Schizosaccharomyces pombe: one gene and its partners. The protein of the gene in region 3 interacts with the protein of the main gene of each other region in a pairwise test. Each region holds a gene or a part of one and is shown on either strand. Other genes may lie near its edges.

What was found.
Region 1: the proteins of hua1 (region 3) and rhp18 interact in a two-hybrid assay, tested with the Schizosaccharomyces pombe proteins (2 studies listed by BioGRID).
Region 2: the proteins of hua1 (region 3) and spg4 interact in a two-hybrid assay, tested with the Schizosaccharomyces pombe proteins (2 studies listed by BioGRID).
Region 4: the proteins of hua1 (region 3) and moc3 interact in a two-hybrid assay, tested with the Schizosaccharomyces pombe proteins (2 studies listed by BioGRID).

The regions. Positions count from the first base shown.
Region 1 is NC_003423.3:1,068,201-1,072,600, forward strand, and holds rhp18 (postreplication repair E3 ubiquitin-protein ligase), read left to right. Parts: upstream 1-1,827; 5' UTR 1,828-2,057; coding exon 2,058-3,221; 3' UTR 3,222-3,370; downstream 3,371-4,400. Other genes in the region: mannan polymerase I complex subunit Anp1, read left to right, coding at 1-184; DNAJ protein Spf31, read right to left, coding at 910-1,488, 1,692-1,742; TRAPP III complex subunit Trs8502, read right to left, coding at 3,371-4,400. UniProt on the Schizosaccharomyces pombe protein: E3 RING-finger protein, member of the UBC2/RAD6 epistasis group. Associates to the E2 ubiquitin conjugating enzyme ubc2/rad6 to form the ubc2-rad18 ubiquitin ligase complex involved in postreplicative repair (PRR) of damaged DNA.
Region 2 is NC_003424.3:3,479,694-3,485,162, reverse strand, and holds spg4 (AAA domain-containing protein), read right to left. Parts: upstream 3,607-5,469; 5' UTR 3,255-3,606; coding exon 1,029-3,254; 3' UTR 558-1,028; downstream 1-557. Other genes in the region: hrb1 (RNA-binding and mRNA export factor), read right to left, coding at 98-427, 465-485; tps1 (alpha,alpha-trehalose-phosphate synthase (UDP-forming)), read right to left, coding at 4,308-5,469.
Region 3 is NC_003424.3:1,768,150-1,772,565, reverse strand, and holds hua1 (protein hua1), read right to left. Parts: upstream 2,418-4,416; 5' UTR 2,376-2,417; coding exon 1,701-2,375; 3' UTR 543-1,700; downstream 1-542. Other genes in the region: protein phosphatase regulatory subunit Glc8, read left to right, coding at 2,546-3,478; erp2 (COPII-coated vesicle-associated protein Erp2/3/4), read right to left, coding at 4,147-4,416.
Region 4 is NC_003424.3:991,075-995,553, forward strand, and holds moc3 (DNA-binding transcription factor Moc3), read right to left. Parts: upstream 2,715-4,479; 5' UTR 2,205-2,714; coding exon 678-2,204; 3' UTR 558-677; downstream 1-557. Other genes in the region: mitotic and meiotic (sporulation) septin Spn2, read left to right, coding at 1-451; ubiquitin ligase Slp1, read right to left, coding at 4,402-4,479. UniProt on the Schizosaccharomyces pombe protein: Induces sexual development and ascus formation. Also involved in calcium homeostasis.

The DNA of each region.
Region 1 (4,400 bases), on a different chromosome or scaffold from region 3:
GCATATTTATGAACCTAGCGATGATGATAAGCGTATTATGGCTGAAATGGAACGCGAAAGGAAAGAAAGGGAGGCCGCAGAGCTTGAAGAGGCTAAAAAGTATCAGACTGCTGGATTCACGCAACCAGATGATCAGGGTGCTGAAGAAGGTCCTTTGGCACATGCAGACGATCATGTTGATTAAGCTCCCTTACTTTGTAAAAAAATTCCTGAGCACAGTAACCATGTTTTACAGTCCTCTCTCTTCTTTATTTAAATCGCTGCCCCTTTTCACTTACATATATAATGATGGTCGCGTTTTTTCTTTATTCTTATTTCTTTTTATCTCTTTTAAACATATGATCAAGACATAATTAGTAATTTTAGTGTTATTCTGCCCTCTTTTTTTTAACTTGGTATACGAACTCATAATGGGATGCACGTTAGGATGATGCTTGTTTCTTCAGTTGGTGCGCTTTAATGCTATGCCAGGAAAAAAAGGAAGCTCTTGGTCTTATTCTCTCTTTAAGGACTTTTTCCTCCAAAAAGCCTTGTACATACAAACATCTTTAGTTTGTTGTTTATTCGACAGTGGGTAGGGCAATCATTCTCTTTCTTTACATGCACCCATTAGGAATATATGCCATAGAACGCTGTAAATATACAAAGCAGTTACCATGGTTAAACGGCATTCATATTAATTCTATTACGATACTGATACATATCACTGTCGAAAAGCAAATTTCAGTAGAATTTGTTGATTAGTTTACTTAATGGTAATCTGCTCACGTAGCATGAAAAGAAATTTCAATTTATAAATTGTTGAAAACTTCATATTAAATCATTTCAATCGCATAGGTCATGTACAAATACTAAAAGAGGTTAAGTCGTCGAAGCTTTAATGTACAATAAAACGCGTAACTTCGTCTTTTATCCAAGAACCCTTGGTTTTTTATTCTTCTTTTTTAAGTTATTTTTCTTCGTTTTGTGAAGGAAATCCTGCCAATTTCCCACACGATTATCTCTTGTCTCTTCCCAAACCTTTTCTGATTCTACACGACGCTTTCGTTCTCTTGCAATTTCATCTTGACGCGCTTGTTCTCTTTGCTGGTTTGCTAAATCGAGCTGCCGTGCTCGTCTTCTTGCAACTTCATCTGCAATAAGGATTTCACGCCAACGTACTTTTAAATCAAATAAAAACTGGTCTGAATGGACGTCTTCCGAATTTGGAGACAATTTTTTTTCTTTCAATAGTTGGTTCCTTGCAGCTGTGTAAGCCGAATCAAGAGATTCCCGAATCTTATCATTAACTAGATCAGACTCCGCCTTTTTTAAAATGTCGAATGCGTCTGCAGCTTTTGGGTTATCGCGATTTTTGTCTGGATGAATCATTAATGATTTTTTCCTGTACAAATTTCGAATATCATCAACACTCATTCCTGGCAAAATATCAAGAACATCATATGCATTTAATTTAAAGGAAGACAATATTCTGTCAATCTCACGTCCCTAAGTAAAGGTTAGAATTCATCGACTTTGTTTGATTAGCAAGTAATATACGCATAGGCAAAGTTATTCTATTGTTTCATTGTAGTATATAATCTGTATAAACAAAAAAAAAAAAAATTCTGAGAATAAGATAAATCGAATCAACCTACTAAGGTACATCTAGAAATCTTCACATGCAATGTCAATAAAATGCTAAAACTTACTCTGTTTAAACTTCCTTCAACTCGATCTAAAAACTTTGCAACGTCTGCCATTTCTGACCGAGCCCCAAAATTGAAATTACAAGAGTGCAAATTTCAAAAATCCTTTATAGATAAATTTGGTGGTGAGTTAGGTTTTGCATTCGCCAACTTCTGGTATCGAGGGTAAGAATCTGTAAGTACGTTTAGAAACAGGTTCTTTACATTTGTTCTTTAAATGTAATAATGTATATGAATATACATATTCATTTACATATCGATGTGTCTAAGGTTTAAAAATTTACCGTCCGAGAGTGCTCTTACGAATCCCTAATTAAGTTTGAATATTAGTGCATATTAACTATTAATGGGTTTGCAATTTAAAATAAGATGAATGAACTAGATGCTACAGATCCATCTGATTGGAACCAAACGAAAATACCATCGTTGAAGGGCTTGGATTCTTCTTTACGATGTCTGATTTGTCATGAATACTTTCGCGCCCCCTTAATTACTTCTTGCTCACACACCTTTTGTTCGTTTTGTATACGCGATTATCTGAGAGAACATCCTATGTGCCCTGCTTGTCGTGCTCCTGAGCAAGAAAGCCGCTTAAGAAAAAACACTATATTAGAAGAGATTTTAGAGTCCTTTAAAGTGATCAGGCCAACATTGTTTGAATTCTTAAAAGTAGAAAATGTGCCAAAGCCAGTACTTCAAGCTCCTGAAACAGTTATCGCACAGGATTCAGCTTCTGGCGATGAGGAATGGGAAGACGACTTGGCTTCAAATTCATCTCCTGCTTCTATAGCTAAAAAGACATCTAGGGATTCTAAAAAGAGGAAACGTGAGGATTTAGTTCACTGCCCTGCATGTTCAAATTTAGTTCCTCATAATCAAATTAATCAACACTTGGATTCTTGTCTTAACTCACCTTCTTCCCCGTCTTCCTCTTCCTCACCTTATAAAAATAAGGATAATAGTAAATCTAATTCATTACTATCATTCAAAACAGATGATGATTCTATCACGAAGCGCAGGTTAAGGTCGTTTAACTCTGCAGATGAACTACCCTTGAAAGATCGAGTGCGGCTTCCCAAACTAACTTATGCACTCCTTTCCGAATCAAAAATTCGTTCCAAATTATCAGAGATGGGGCTTCCAACCGATGGACATAAACAACTATTACAACGTCGACATGCTAAATGGGTTACCCTTTACAATTCTAATTTAGACCAGAAACAACCTGTTTCAAAAAGAAATTTAATTCGCCAACTTATAGATTGGGAGCGCGTTCAGTCGAAATCAATTGGAGTAGAAAAAGAAAAACTAGGAGGGGGCGATTGGGAGAAGGCATACGCTGAGGATTTTGCTGATCTCATCAACCGTGCAAAACAATCAACAACTAACAAAAATGATTCATTGAGGAACACTGCTGTTGAATCTTCCACCGAACCTTCTACATCTAACGGTTTTCCTGCCACTTCAGTTAGTCCCCCTCTTACTATTGACCTTACCAATTCACAAACGGGATCCGATGGACCACAGTCCTAATCATTAATTTTCGTTGGATTCGTTTTAACGAATTTTCATTATCAGATTAACTTATTAGTTTATTTCGCTATATATAATCACATTAATAACCTGTAGAAATTTTGATATTTGGTAAATAAAATAATATACATTTTGAAAGTGGGGCATTTCTAGCTAGAAGGAATATTAGAAGCAGGTTGTTTGGAGACTTCGACTTCGTCAAGTGCTGCAACACACTCCTTCAAATCCTTCCAATCGATTTTTCCATAAAACAATTTTGCTTCCTCTACAAAAGGCTTGGCACGAAAGGGAATGCGACATCTCAACCAAGCATCGGCAGTTAATACACACCAAAGTGCGGCTTTACGAGTTCGCTTATTAGAGAACGGGTCCGTAGATTCAGTTTTTAAATAAGAAAGGGATTTAAAGAGAGTGTGAGTTTGTTGAAAGATCATTGCTCTTCCTACAGGACCCAATCTCTTAGAATAAAGCAAACCTGCATTCCAGTTAGCAGCATCGTCCACTTTTGGAGCTGGTAAACAACTAAGGAATTGTCCCAGGAGAAGGAAACAGCGCGCAGCATGATAATAGGAATTGAAGGATTTATTCAAATAATTTAACATAGCAGATTGCATATACTCGTTTATTCTCAATGTGTTCGTCAAACTCATATATGGCATTTTTAGGTGTAAAATATGTTCAGTTATTACAATCATTTCTAGAGAGGCAGCAGAATATAAGCAAGCACCATCATTTTCATACTGTCTTGATGCAATTTCATAAATCTGATTTGCATGAGAATAATCTCGTAGCATGAAGGAATAGTCGGCAAGTTTCCTAAGATATGCCTCTGGTGAAAATGGACGATAGGCATTAGATGAGGGGAAATAGTTAGAATTGGTAGAAGCATTCGAACTAGATAAATATTTTCTGGATGCAAATAACAGCTTACCGGTAATCCCTCGTCTCGGAGAAGCATATTGATCATCCCATGCTCTTACGCATTTGTCCAAATAAGAGACAATTCCGTTGAACGCAATGTGCGAAGATAACCGTCGCAGTGATTCATTGTCGGATTCAAAGAGTAATCGTATTTCAGTATCCGTATTAGATAAAAGGTGTAAACGTTCTTCAGCAGACAACCAAGAGGATGTTGGAAAAGGAACGGTATGTTCATAATCTAAGGTAGCCTTTTGTGAA
Region 2 (5,469 bases), 1.7 Mb from region 3:
TAAAAGTAACGTTCAATTGGATCGATTCAACGTTACAATTTAAATAGACAATGATTTACTAGTCGCATGAAACCCACCCTCTATGAAGCAAACTTACCTTCGATAATCCATTCGGAAGATTCAAAATCTCACAATTAAGAACATTGCCAACTTGTCCCATAAACTCTTTCAACTCAAACCAACGAACTTGATATGACAAATTACCAACATACACGCGACGCTCTTGTTGAGTGTACTTTTGGCCATTTCCCAAGTGAGGGTCTCTTTCAGTGTGCTCTCCATCAAAATGCAAGCCACGTTTCAATGAATTGCTTCCGTTGACATGTCGCTTCGGAGACTCCGATCTGTCACGATCCATATTGGAAGACGATGAATTCAAGGAACTTGACACATCCAACTTACTACCCATTCCTGAATCAAATTCATTCTATTTGATCAGCTAAATCAATCAATAGTTATCATACCCATTCTATAGGTTTAGGCATCGCAAGAGCATAAGCTGAGTGTGCATCTTCACATAATTAAAGCATCCCAACAACTTGACTTCTATAGTGTAACTGCAATATAATTTCGTAAGTGATATACTGTAAACTCTTAGATTCGCTAAAAGAACAATAGAATAAAAAAACTGTAAACATTTAAATTATAAATATTGACATGTACTGACTAATTAATCATAGTAAGGAGTTTTAGTTGTTTGTAAATGAGTCGTAATAAAAATGGAAACTCAAACAATAACTAGGGTTAGAGATAACCTCAGTTAATATTAAGTGTTTGAAAAATTCAAAGACTGTGCATAAATTGTATCAACAAAAAAGAGACAAACGAATATATTAGGAGTAAACAAAAAGGCTTTTGGTACAGCACCATTATTATCATCATGAATAATTCCTTGAGGCAAAAGTTGTCCTTATTAGTTATAATCATAAGTTTGCACAAGCCATGTATTAAAAGACAATAAATAAATTTTCAACGTGATTACCAAAAAAATCGGTATCAGGCTAGGAATTTTAAATAAGAAGACAGACTCAATGCCCTTGGGATCCGAACTCTTTGTCCCATTCTGAATATCGTTCCAGCCCTTGCAAGTTCACACTAGGCCGGATTACCTTGATACTAGTTTTAAAGTCATCTAAATTAATCGGCCTAATCGACTCCATTTTCGTGAATAGCAAAGACTCACCTAAACTTCGCAAAGGCCCCATAGCTGCGTCTTTTGCCAATGCTGTCAAATCAGAGCCAGAGTAATATTCGGTTGCTTTCACAATAGCCTCAATATCCTCTAAGGAAAGAGAATGCTTCTGATATTTTAAAAGGTTATTTAAATGTAAGCGACGAGTGGTCTCATCAGGGAGGGGAATGTAGGTACGACGGACAAATCGTCTACGAGCAGCATCGTCGATACACCAAGGCAAATTGGTAGCGGCAAGCACTAGAACTCTTGGGTGATCGGCGGTTTGTCGAGATGCAGCTGCTCTTGCAAGCGAAGACCACTGAATTAAGAATTCTGTTTTTATTCTTCTCGATGTTTCATGCTCATTTCCATCACTGCTTCTAGCAGAAAGCAGTGAATCAATTTCGTCAACAAAAATGATGCTTGGAGACAGCTTTTTTGCTAAAGTGAAGAGAGCACGAACAAGTTTTTCGGATTCACCCAAAAACTTGGATGTTAAACTAGAAGCTGAAATAGAAAAAAAGACAGAACGGGATTCAGTAGCAACAGCTCGCGCAAGCATTGTCTTACCAGTTCCTGGAGGCCCAAAAAGAAGCATCCCCCTAGCTGGTTCCCGCAAGCCTTGGAACAAATCTGGACGCAAGAACGGATACACCACTGCCTCTTTTAAAGAGTGCTTAGCAAATTCTAACCCAGAAATATCATCCCAATGAACTTCATCACCCGAAACCACGATTTCTCGAAGTATACTCTTACCAAGCTCTTCGTCGATGTCTGGACATTCACGCAGAATTTGTTCTTGCTTTTCAGAAGTCATTGCAGAGATAGATGTGGATTGAAACTGCTTTTCAATAATCTCTTCTTCGTTTGTGTGGTTGAAAAATTCATCGCCATCAACCGGCGAATCTTTCTCTTCACAGGAAGAAAGCCCCTGTTCGGAAGCTGGATAGAGATCACTCAGAAAAGGGTTGTTCACAGATAAACGTGGCGGTGTAAGGAAATCCAGATCTTGCGCAGTTTCAGTGGAAGCAGATTGAGCTCGTGGAGCTGACTGAGGAGTGGGAGATGGCGATTTTGTAACTGACGAAACAGAAGCGAGAGATGGCGCGACGGTTGCGATTGAGGTAGATGACTTTGATAACTGTTTTGATATAGAAGGTACTTCAGTGGTACGATTAGGGAGATGGGATTGCGTTTTCTTTTTGAAGGGTGAGGAAGAGGAGGAAATAGAAGAGTAAGTTCGGCGGGCAGCTTCAATAACGGCGGAGTTATCGGGAGTTGGACGATGACGCTCAACCTGAAACGATGATCGAGATGCCTGCGCTGCTTCCGATGATATGTATGATGGCGGGAGAGCATGCTTAGGCTTAGATGAATTCAAAGATCCCCAAGCCAATAGAGCTGCTCGATTGGCATTGTTCTGGGTAGAGACTTCAGCTGGAAGTCCAGTCCTAGCAAGCGATTTACTTGGAGGAAGCACTGATTTACTCTTGACACTGGCCTTTTTAGCAGATTTAACAGCGCTATGTGTTTCTAGTTCACCAGCGCCTTTACGCAACGAAGTCCGCGAAGCTGTAGGTGAAGAGGACATAGATGTTCGCGGAATATTAGGTTTTAAGGATGCCGTTGTCACTTTAGATTGTAAAGGAGCTGTTCTATTTTGACGCTCAAAAGAAGACGCACTATAGTTACCATCATCGATAAATGAGCGATCGCCAGGACCATTTCCACTTATATAAGCAACATTAGCGCTACCAGTAGAAGATTGTGTTACAAGTGACTTTTGTGTATTTTGAATATCCTTATAAGCAGCTTCTTGTTGCGCAATCTCTTTGGTAAGGAACTCAATTCGAATGGTCAACTGCTCCAACATGCAGAGTAATGTTTCCACATAATGTCTATCTTCATAATCCATCACGTGTAAGCGTTCCCTCGCATACTTAAACTCTGGATTCATGAGAATGTTCCGCTTGGCCTTTTGAAATAAAGCGATAGCCTCCACATAGTCAGCAGTCTGCTCTTTATGAATTGCAACGGCGGCATATGACTGTGTGACGTTATAGCAGTCTTCAAGGCTCATTTTTGTGCATTCTTTAACGTCTACAACTGATTAAAAACAATTACCTTTCAATGGAAAGAGGTTAAATCGGCTCGATTGGAAACGTTATTCTCTTTCTATATTGGCTGAAGTGCACAAACTACACTTCTCCTTTTATATCCTATTACCTTATTAAATATTGTTTTCGTACAAGCAGAATGCGGCATGCAAATACAAATCGTAGATATAGTGATACAAAGTTAAAGATAAAATTTCTCACTAAAACCACGATTTTGTCGGAAAACTTGATAAAGTCTACAAAAATAAATACAAAACTAGCAACAGCACTAATTATATGCGTGAATAGAAGTTCTATGATATACGCACTGTGCTTGTTGAGTTTTAAATCTTTACGGTTGGTTTTGGTGTAGCGAAGAATAATGATGGGTAAATGACGCATCTTCATCATTTACACAAAAAAACTCTTTTTGCTATATGAGAATTGAAAATTAGTTTACTTACAATAAATAATACCTTTAAAACCATTTCACTATTAATCTTAATATTTGCTTGGTCCAACTCCGTTCACCAGTCCAGCATATTCTCATCCTTACTTATAAGATATATTAGTCACAATCTTCCACGTGTATCCCAAAAAAAATGTATAAAAATAATATTAATTGAATGTTACAGGATTTTTAAGGTTAAATAACAAAACATTTATTCTTTTTGCCATCATGTTCAATATAAAACCAAAGGAAATTACAAAGAACAACACTTCATAAAAAAATTGTCGAATACTTGTCTAACAAATTTCCATCATCAGCAAATACTCAAACCACCATAAGCTGATTGGAATTTCTGCATATAAAAAAATCATTAAAGAACGTTGCATTATATCATGTATTGTGAATTCATCTCAATAAAAAAAGTGCCAGTATAAACAACATCCTTTGTATCGTAAACTGCTAACTCATCGAATATATATGACCAAATGATTTAATTGCTTTGAGAATGAAATTATAGAAGTAAAAGTGTAAAAGTGCAACAACTTGATTAATGGGAAAACAAACCAATAGTGTTGCTAATGCACTCTTACGAGCTAGAATTCATCGACAGCACTTGAGCAGACTTGGTTCGTAAAATCGGATTCGTTCTTCTGGGGTGAGGGTGGCTGTAGTGTTGAATGCGTTGCAACTCACCGACAAAGCTTTGACCCCAGAATTGACTGGTATACTTATTAACATATCGGAATAATTTATTCTCATTAGCCTCACGTTGTTTCTCCGGCATAGTGAGGGCATCATGAATGGAGTTTGCTAATTCCTCCGTGTTCCATGGATTAATTACAATACTACCATTGAGTGACTGGGCAGCACCGGCAAATTCACTAAGAATTAGGGCACCATGTCTCTCTTGTTGAGTGCAAATGTACTCGTATGAAACAAGATTCATACCATCACGAGTTGAGGTAATTAAACAAACGTCTGAAACGTTATACAGAGCAACCAGCTCTTCAAAGCGAACACTTTTATGTAAGAAATGAATAGGTGTATATTCAACAGTACCAAAACGACCGTTAATACGGCCAACAAGCTCATTGACAACGGCTCTAAGATTCTGATACTCTTCGACATCTTGACGAGAAGGAACGGCAACTTGAACCAACACGACCTTTCCAACCCATTCAGGGTATTGTTCTAAGAACACTTCAAAGGCATGGAATTTTTGGGGAACACCCTTAATGTAGTCCAAACGATCGACACCCACAATCACCTTAACGCCTTGTAGTCTACGTTCGATGCTTGCAATGCGATCCTTTACCACGTCAGACTTCAGAGCATCAGAGAACTTTTCGGGATCAATACCGATGGGGAAGGTGCCGACGCTGACCATTTGACCATTGTATTCCACACCGTTAGGTAGTGTGCTAAGATTAAGGATACGAGAGCATGCAGACAAAAAGTGACGGGCATAGTCGTAGGTATGGAAGCCAACGAGATCACAGTTGAGTACACCTTCAAGGATTTCGTTTCTAACGGGTAAAACACGATAGATTTCGCTACTTGGGAAAGGAGTGTGCAAGAAGAAGCCAATTTTGATATCCTTAAACTTATCACCGATTAATTCACGCAACATTTGAGGAAGAACCATCAAATGATAATCCTGCACCCAAATTAAATCACCATCCTGCAGATTTTTGACAATGGCCTCGGCAAAAGCGTAGTTAGCCGCACGATAGGCCTCCCAATTTTCC
Region 3 (4,416 bases):
TAAATATATTTGAACTCTTTCGAGTTCAAATGCAACATACGACAACTAAGAGCCATAGATCAAGCGGTTACTTAATTTATTTCTATAGTTTTAATTTTCTATAAAAATATGTATATCAACTGTTTCAATAAATATTGTACTTATAATTTCGTTTTGCCAACTCCTTTGTCAAGAGAGAAAACGTAATTAAAAAACATGGTCACAGCCAGGTTCGAACTGGCGACATTCGACTTATTAGATCGACATGATAACCGACTACATCATGCGACCAACTGTTAACTTGATGATTATTTAAACCTATTTATAATAACATTAATGTTAAAAATATGAATGAAACTGACCTTTTTATACAAAAGGTATATATATAAACAAGAAGGACTTTCATTTTAATTTTGATAAGACAGTTTGAAATATCCTCCAATCCAATTTAAGATTGTTTCTAGTTTACAGATTTTCAAATCAGGAATTACTAAGTCATTTGCAACACTAAACATGAAGAAGTAGTCTAACTCACTATCTGCTCGATGTATATGTTAGCATATGCTTTCCTTGTGCCAGCCCTAAAGAGAAACTGACAGTGGTTTGCTTTTGCAAATGAAAAAATAAAATTGGAGAACATACAATTGTACGAAAATGCTACCTATCCAAATGGGTCTTTAACGAATTTTTTAAGCTTAAAAGTTGCCATATGTAGTGTGTTTGCTTGATTCATTAATAGTCATTTATTATGGTGCAATACTTCGTCAAGACAATAGTGATAGCTTTTTTAACTTATTGCGAGAACAGAAGATAGCAATTAATCTGATGTACAAATAACGATAATATTCTAATGACATCAATGGAAAACAATAATGAAAATAGGCACTCCATATTGCTTCCCGAAATTTGTACTTGTGGCATAGCAGATAAACAGGACGAACTAGATAAAAAATGAGCAAGGGTTTCTAAAGGAGAATAATTTCATCAAGTTTTTTTTTTTTGCTTCTTCTTAATAAGTATTTAATACTCAAGAAAACGTAGAAACAATTAGGCAACAATAGCACTGTGGTTTACAGTTACCCTTTCTTATACAGAAAAGATAGAGGTTATGACAACTGTTAAAACATGGAATTTTGCATGATGAACCGGTATTACTTTTGTAAGTTAATACAATAACAAAAAGATAAAAGTTAATAGAAAATTTAGGGAAAAAGAAGTGCAAAGCTCTGAGAATCATTCCGATATACTTAGACAATAGTAAAATAAATAAATACTTAGAACACGGACGGATTTTGCAATTTTAAGAATTAGGAAGTCCCGTAGATATTATTTAGAAGAAATTTTCCAAAGCATAAACGAAGTAGATAAGGAAAGAGCATTTTTGGAAAACAAACTTAATGGTCAAAACTATGACCAAATTAAAAATTCACGAATTCATAAACAAACCCAAAAAACGAAGACATTTTCGATATGAGCAATAAGCATATAAAAGGGGCTCTATGATATGGGTTGGTGGGAAAGAATGCTTAAAAGGGATTGTCGTAAAACTGGTAAATTATAGAATGAATAAAATCGCAACATTCAAAAAATGTTTTAAAATTATTCAAATATTTAAATTGAGAAATGAGTCTTGTCGCTCATTTCAAATAAATAATAATTACAAGAGTATGTCATATATGAACAAGAACTTAATGGAGTATCAGTTTTGCTCAGCAGTTGATTTAGTAGGGAATTTTTCCAACACCATTGCATACCGGGCAAATTTCGGTAAAGAATATAAAGTCAAGTTGACCACTGCCTTTGCAATTCCCGCAAACCCTTCCAGGAATTCGAGGGTCACCAGGATAAACAACTAGTGCACCAGGAGGTGGTCGACTGAATTGAACATCGTACGATCGTCCAAATCTACGAGCGCAACGACCACATGGCCTTCCGCTATCTTTGTAGCCAGTATTGTGGCATTTGTAACACATATAGCCAGGTGGATATGGATATGAAATCCTTGGTCGACCAGAAGGAGGCGGTGCGTAAGATGACTGAGGGCGAGCATAAAATTGGCTGGTCTGATAAGGAGGTTTCGCCGTGTTATAATTTGAAGATGGAGGAGGACTCGCGTACATCGTTGAAGCGTTTCCAGGTTGCCAAGAGTTTGGTCTTTGACTAGTAGGACGCGCAGGTGGGTATGGCGCTTGAGAATAGGCATTGCCAGATCCAGAACTTGACACAGGCCTTGAGTTTAGACTCGATGCTGCGTAATTCGGCAAGGTAGAAGAGGAACTTGAAGGGTGACCAGCAGAAGTAGATGTTTGGCCATTGCTGGAGTTTGGTGAATCAATAACACCTTCTTGCCTTAAAACCTCTTCATACGATGGAGGAGGGACAGAATCATCAGTCATTTTTATGATATACTATCACTTAATATACAGGTTGTTGTTGGTAAAGGAATGTTCTCGTATGAGATGTGATTGTAGTAGGTACATGCGTCAACTGATCCTCCACCAACTTTTACATCTTCAAATCAAGGATATCATTTTCTCGTATCCAAAACGCACAGAAATAGATAACGATGAAGGTTAAATCAATTCTTAAACATAGTCGTATGAGTTCTCCCTCACTTGAGACTGACTCAATGGAAAGTGGCCAACAACAAAATATGGTCTCATCAACACCTTCAATTGATATGAATGAGAGTGATTGCTCGGGCACAGGAACTCCATCGGAAGAAAGAATTCGTCGTCTTCGTTGGGATGAGGAAAATCTTTCAAAAGCTGAACAGCAGAAGTCAGCGAAAATGAAAATTACCGAACCGAAAACTCCTTTTCAACGCTTTTTGCTTCCAGATGATGAAGTTCCTGAAATCAATTTGGATGAAACTGACAGTAAGGACGACTTTACTGCTGGAACTTTGGGTGACACACTCGGCACTCTTCCCAGTACCCGGGTGTCAAAAGATTCTAAAGATGACAATGTCTCCTTTTCGAGCGACAAGAAACAATTTTATGTCAAAAAGGAACCTTTCCCGGTTCCTTGTACTGAACCGACTACTTCGGGTGATAGGTACACCGTCCGTATGAAGGCTCCAACACCAAAGTACTCTACAGATAATCATTTACCAAGTAAAAAAGAACTATTTCCGAGGGAAACAAAACCCCAAGTTGAAGTAGTTCATGCCAGAATTAATAATCCTGACGACCATTTACGTACTCATCCTTCTGTGAATAACCTAGGTAAAGATTCTGATCATGCTGATAAAATGTATAATGAAGGAGTAATTCTAGGAGAAGACGAAGCAATGGAAGAGGAGGCTTTATCTGAAGCTGAAGAGAACATTCCTAAAAAGAAACCGGACTTCAACGAACTTCGAAAGAAACATTATTTTGCTATGGCTAAGCCCTTGAAAAGAGATGAACTTGAAAGCAGTGGTACAGAGAGTGATTTAGAGAGAGATAATAGCGATTCTGGGTCAGCTTCTGATGTAAATATGAATGAAAATGAGTGAATCACTTTATTAACTTTACGCATTATTGAAACGTGAGTTGCAAGTACAAAGGATCTTGAGTTTCATTTATTATAACGTCAAACGACTGCAAATTATTTTTTCGACCTTCAAAGTTTTATTACATGAGCTTTTGCGTCTTCTCCGTTTACGTTTTTTATTCATTTCTATTCCCCTTTTTTGCCCTTTTCACTTTGGTTGTACAGTTGTTCTGCTCGGTTTATATTAAAACCTTTCTTATGAACTTCAAATAGTTTAACGGCTTTCATTTCATTTTTATGCCCTTTTAGCAGTCTAATCCTTCATTTATGGCCGCTAACCCTACCCATTCTTTTTTTTTCATAGTATACAATTTTTTATACTTAAATACTCATTAAGCACATTTTTTCTTTATTTCGTTGATAGGTTGCTTAAATTTGTATGAAACACGAATACAGTTGTAAAATGCAATGAAGGAAATAATAATATTGCTTAGTGGAAAATACTTCAACTACAAGAAATTGTAATCCTTGATTTAATAAAGACGCATGTCGATTGTCTTATTTAAATCCTGGCATAATAATATAATCCTGAATAAAACAATAGAGCTATAAGCTTCGTTAAGACTGATTAAAGGCATACATAGGCATGACAGATATGAATATTGTTAGAAAGGTGACCGACTAGTCAGTTTATACACCTCTCCGACCAGATCGTTTAAAGAATGTCTTTACAATAAAGACTTGAAGAGCAGAAAGAGCGACAACCATTATAGATTCAGCAAGACTAAACCAAAAGATGCGGGCTTGAGTAGACTTTACAGTAGAATAATTACGATGCTCCCGAGTTTTGAAGTAATTTTGTACACGGTCAATTTCAGATAATGCGGTTGAGATCTCTAAAACAGTACTTTGCATGCTGTCCTTTTTGTAGTCTTTGGCTTCATCACGGGTTAATGCAGG
Region 4 (4,479 bases), 780 kb from region 3:
ATTGACTCTTGAAGAAAGAGCAGCATTTAAGCAGCAAATCCGTGAAGAATTTGTTAAACACGACATCAATTTGTATCCTTATGATTCTGATGACGCCGATGAGGAGGAAATTAATCTAAATGCTGCCGTCCGAAATCTTATTCCTTTTGCCGTGGTCGGTTCCGAAAAAGCCATTATCGTAGATGGAAGGCCTATTCGTGGTCGTCAAAACAGATGGGGGGTTGTCAATGTGGATGATGAAAACCACTGCGAGTTTGTTTTTCTTCGTAACTTTTTGATGCGAACTCATCTTCAAGATTTAATTGAAACGACCTCATACTATCATTACGAGAAATTCCGCTTTAAGCAATTGAGCAGCTTAAAAGAACAGTCTTCCCTCGCAACTAGAATGGGAAGTCCCGCACCTGTGTACCCTTCTGAACCACATCTCCATACAGCCACCGCTCAATAGTCTTCTTCCTAAGGTAATATATAGTATGTTTAGAACAAAGACTAAACCATTTGTATGACTGTCGTACCGTAATTCGTAAATTTCGGCTCTTTTTACACTATGCGAATCTTACAAATGAAGTGTTTATCTTATTAACGAGAGATTATATGTTTGATGCGTGATTTTGTCTAGCTATTATACAGTTCTATATCAATATTTATTGAAAAGCATCAAAATGATTTTAAAATTAAAGTACTGGTCGATTTAAGACATTGCAATCCATAAAATGTTCTAGCATCAATCTTCCGAAATGAGATTCGATTTGTGCCCGAAGTTTAAATTCTTTAGAGTTTGATGCAAAAACATTTTGTAGAGATAATACGCATAAATAGGAAGTGCGTAATACTGCAATATCTGTGCATTCTTCTTGCATTAATTGCTGTAAGCCAGAAAGAACGTCATTATTGTTTTTGGTAACGGCATGTCCTACACAATCTATAACTTTAGTAAGAGGACTTCTTGATGCTGAATACAAGTGCACATGATATTCATCTCGCCAAGCAACCATTCGTTCTCGATGCAAATCATCAGACAAGGTTGGTTGAGAGAGAATGTCCAATCCAATAGTAAACAAAGAATCCGAAACAGGTGCATGACTTCGAGAAACAGAAACTTCCGATAAAGGCTTTCCATTAAACCCCCAGATACACCCACGAGGAAGAATTGCAAAAACTAGTTCACGAACGACCATAGCAATCAATAAGCTGACATAATTTGATTTGGTAGACGAAGACCAACTTAACTTTCTAATAAAATTATTACAAAAATTGAGATCATAGGCTGGGAGATTGAGCTGAGTGAGAGTCAAAAATGCAGAAACCAACAGGTATTCAAAAGAATTGGGACCAGGCATTGGACAGCGAAGAGCTCTGGTCAAATGACTGTAAGCACCAAAAACGTCGAGCTTCTTAATAGACGCAAAAGCCATTAAAGAATTAGCAATACAAGGCATCGATTGAGCAAACTGGGGAACAGTGACTGACCAAAAATGCAAGGCTATGTTATTATCAAATTCAAATGCACAAATAGAAGGTACGACATCGTGAAAATAAAACGGAAACAGTTCGGAATTAAAGTTTGAAGGGAAATTGGAAACTGATGAAAGAAAAGGGTAAGAGGCCTGACCCACCGATTGTACAGAGGGTTTTGTAGACGAAGTAGCGCTAGAAGAATTATTTGTAGGAACGTTATGATTGGATTGAAGGTATTGATGCTGTTGATAAGCACTTGGAAATCCTTGTAAATTCATAGGTTTTTGATGATCCTGTTTGATTGGGGTAACGGTGGATAAATTGGAGGAGGAGGTCATCTGATTAAGATCATTTGTATTAAAATTGGATTGTGAAGAGCCGGAAAAAGTGTCTCCGGTTTGAGCGCTACTTGAAGCAATTGAAGTAGGTATCAATGGCTGTTGAGCAGAATGAACGCTTAGCTCAGGAGGCGATACACTCCCCATGGCTTGCATTTGAGCAGCTGAATTTGGATAACCTTCACATTCCCTATTTGTCTTTGTGCAGTTCAAACAAAAAGGTTTGGTTTCGTCGCACTTGATCCTGCGACGGCGACATGTTAAACATCCAGTTTTCGTTCTTCTTTTTGTGGGCTTGGGCGTAGGCTCGACGTTTGGGTTGGGAATATATAGCGGATTTGAATTAATACTACCCGTTCTATTCCGTTTCATATGAATTTCGGGATAAGAAACATACGGGTTCATAACTGCAAGGGAAACAATAGATAGAAAAAAAAAGAATAACAAGATAATAGGAACTAAACAAATCAAAAGTAAAGAAAGCCCGATTTGAAAACGCTACGCTGCTTGAGAAAAGCGCGCAAAGAAAAAACGCAAGCACAGAACATGAAATTGGAAGCCGATTTATACAAAATTTAAGCTCCAATTTAACAAGGAAACTAAGCACCTTTTTCGTAAAGGCCAAGAAACTCTTTGTAGTCTTTTTTTTAAAAAAGGTAGCGTTACTAACTCTATAATTATATATATATGAATACAATAAATTATTTCAGAATAACCGGACGGCCAAACTGTTCGTAATAACAAAAGAAAAAGCCCTAAAAAAACAAAAGAAGGTGAAAATCAATGGTCGTCTAGCAATTTGCTAGCAACTCTTGCACAATCAATAGGTTTATAGGAAGTGACTTGAAAACAAAACTAGCAAAAGCGACAAGCTCACCCAATTTACAAATGCAAATTTGGGTGAATAAAGGACTTAGAAAAAATGTTGGAACAACTTTCAAGTAGGAACCTCGACATTAGCGAGTGATAAGGCGGCAAATTTGATAAGCCCAAAGGCAACAACAATACTAAGAGCTTTTTATTTAGACGTTAGTAAAGTAGCTTGCTTGATACGCATTAGTACAAAAATCCAAAGAATTGAGAAAATCACGAGCCAAGCAAAAACAGTATAAGAACGATTAACTTGTTTAACCTCTAATGTTCTTTTAAAAATAAAAAAAAAACACAGATGTTTCGTTAATTTTTTGATACTTAGATTATGCCCTCATGTGTTTCATAAATAGCATTCCTTGCTTTTCGTTTTTTTCTGTTTTTTTTCTTTTTCTTTCAGACAATTTATAAAAAAAATTCTTTGCATGTACCTAAATATAGTTTGCATTCTCATTTAGGTTGATCAAGTTGGTTAATAACCACGTGGCTTCGAATATCTGTCATGTTCAGGAGCCACATGTCTCTCCATTGTTACAGCGATTTGGTTGATCTTTACATGGCTTACGCATACGAAGATGCTTCCTGCATTTTTTTTTTATTTCAAATCGTTCATTCACTCTGCACTAGCGAAAATCTTCATTCATATGCAAACTTGTCACTCTTTTATATTAACAAAATATAAACTTAAGCTTGAATACAACTGTTAGCTTTGAACGCTACACCTACCCTAGTACCCTAGTAGCTTGATAACCATAGCGAAGATCCGTGGCCTATTGTCGATCTCTGGGAAACTGTCACTGGATCAAAAGCATCATGTTTCTTCGCTCGGTAAGAAAACTATACTCCAGATTTATGAGAAAGGCACAAAAAGCATCAAAACCTATGCCAATGCAAGTCTCACAAAACCAAATTATCCACCCCTAAAGGTGGAATTGTTCGTTGTTCGTGATGCGATTATTGCTTTATCAGGATGATTGTACTTAATCTCAATCAGATCACCCCAAGGTTAGTCGGCTTTGTCAAAGGTCTTACCTTTTATTGAAATCCATATCCTCCTGTAACAATAGGGGATTCACTATTCATACCTAGTTCACCCATTTTTCTCATTTCACTTCTTAAAGCAAATAACGTATAATAACAGTATTTGTTTACTGATGAGATTAACATTACCCGATGAAGAAAACCAACTATGGTACAGCAATAGGTAGTTAAGAAAATACATGAGATCGTAAATACCAAATGTTTGCCAATTATGAGCGTGAATTAGCATTAGTTTTTTTTTTTCTTAATTCATCTGTGTTTCAATAATACGAATTAGATTGATAAGTTTTTTTTTTTTTTTTTTTTTTTTATAACTACCTAGTACTCTTCCATGATGCGAACATTATAACAACAATGAGACCAAAATATCTTTAGCGATTGGAACAACAAGGTCACATTTCGGAAAAATGATTTGCCAGGCTGAAGATTTATATTAACCAACTTGTTCTCATTAAAAGCCAAACTATTGAATTTACAAATTTGTTATACGAGCATCAATCCTATTATAATAAAATCGACTCAAGTTGAATTGTAGCACATATTATTTATTCACGAGTCATTAAAATATTAGTTTAAACGTGTCAATTATCTTCCCATTAGCGCCAAATCCAAATAAATAAATAGTGAGTAACTGATGCAACATAGTGATTCGACGAGCTAAACGTTGAAATCTAAAAGAAACTGGTGTTGTTCAACGGATTGTTATGCTGCTGGACGGGGTTTTGGTAATTGGAATGGGCCTTTTAACGTGGTCCCCATCATAAACTCG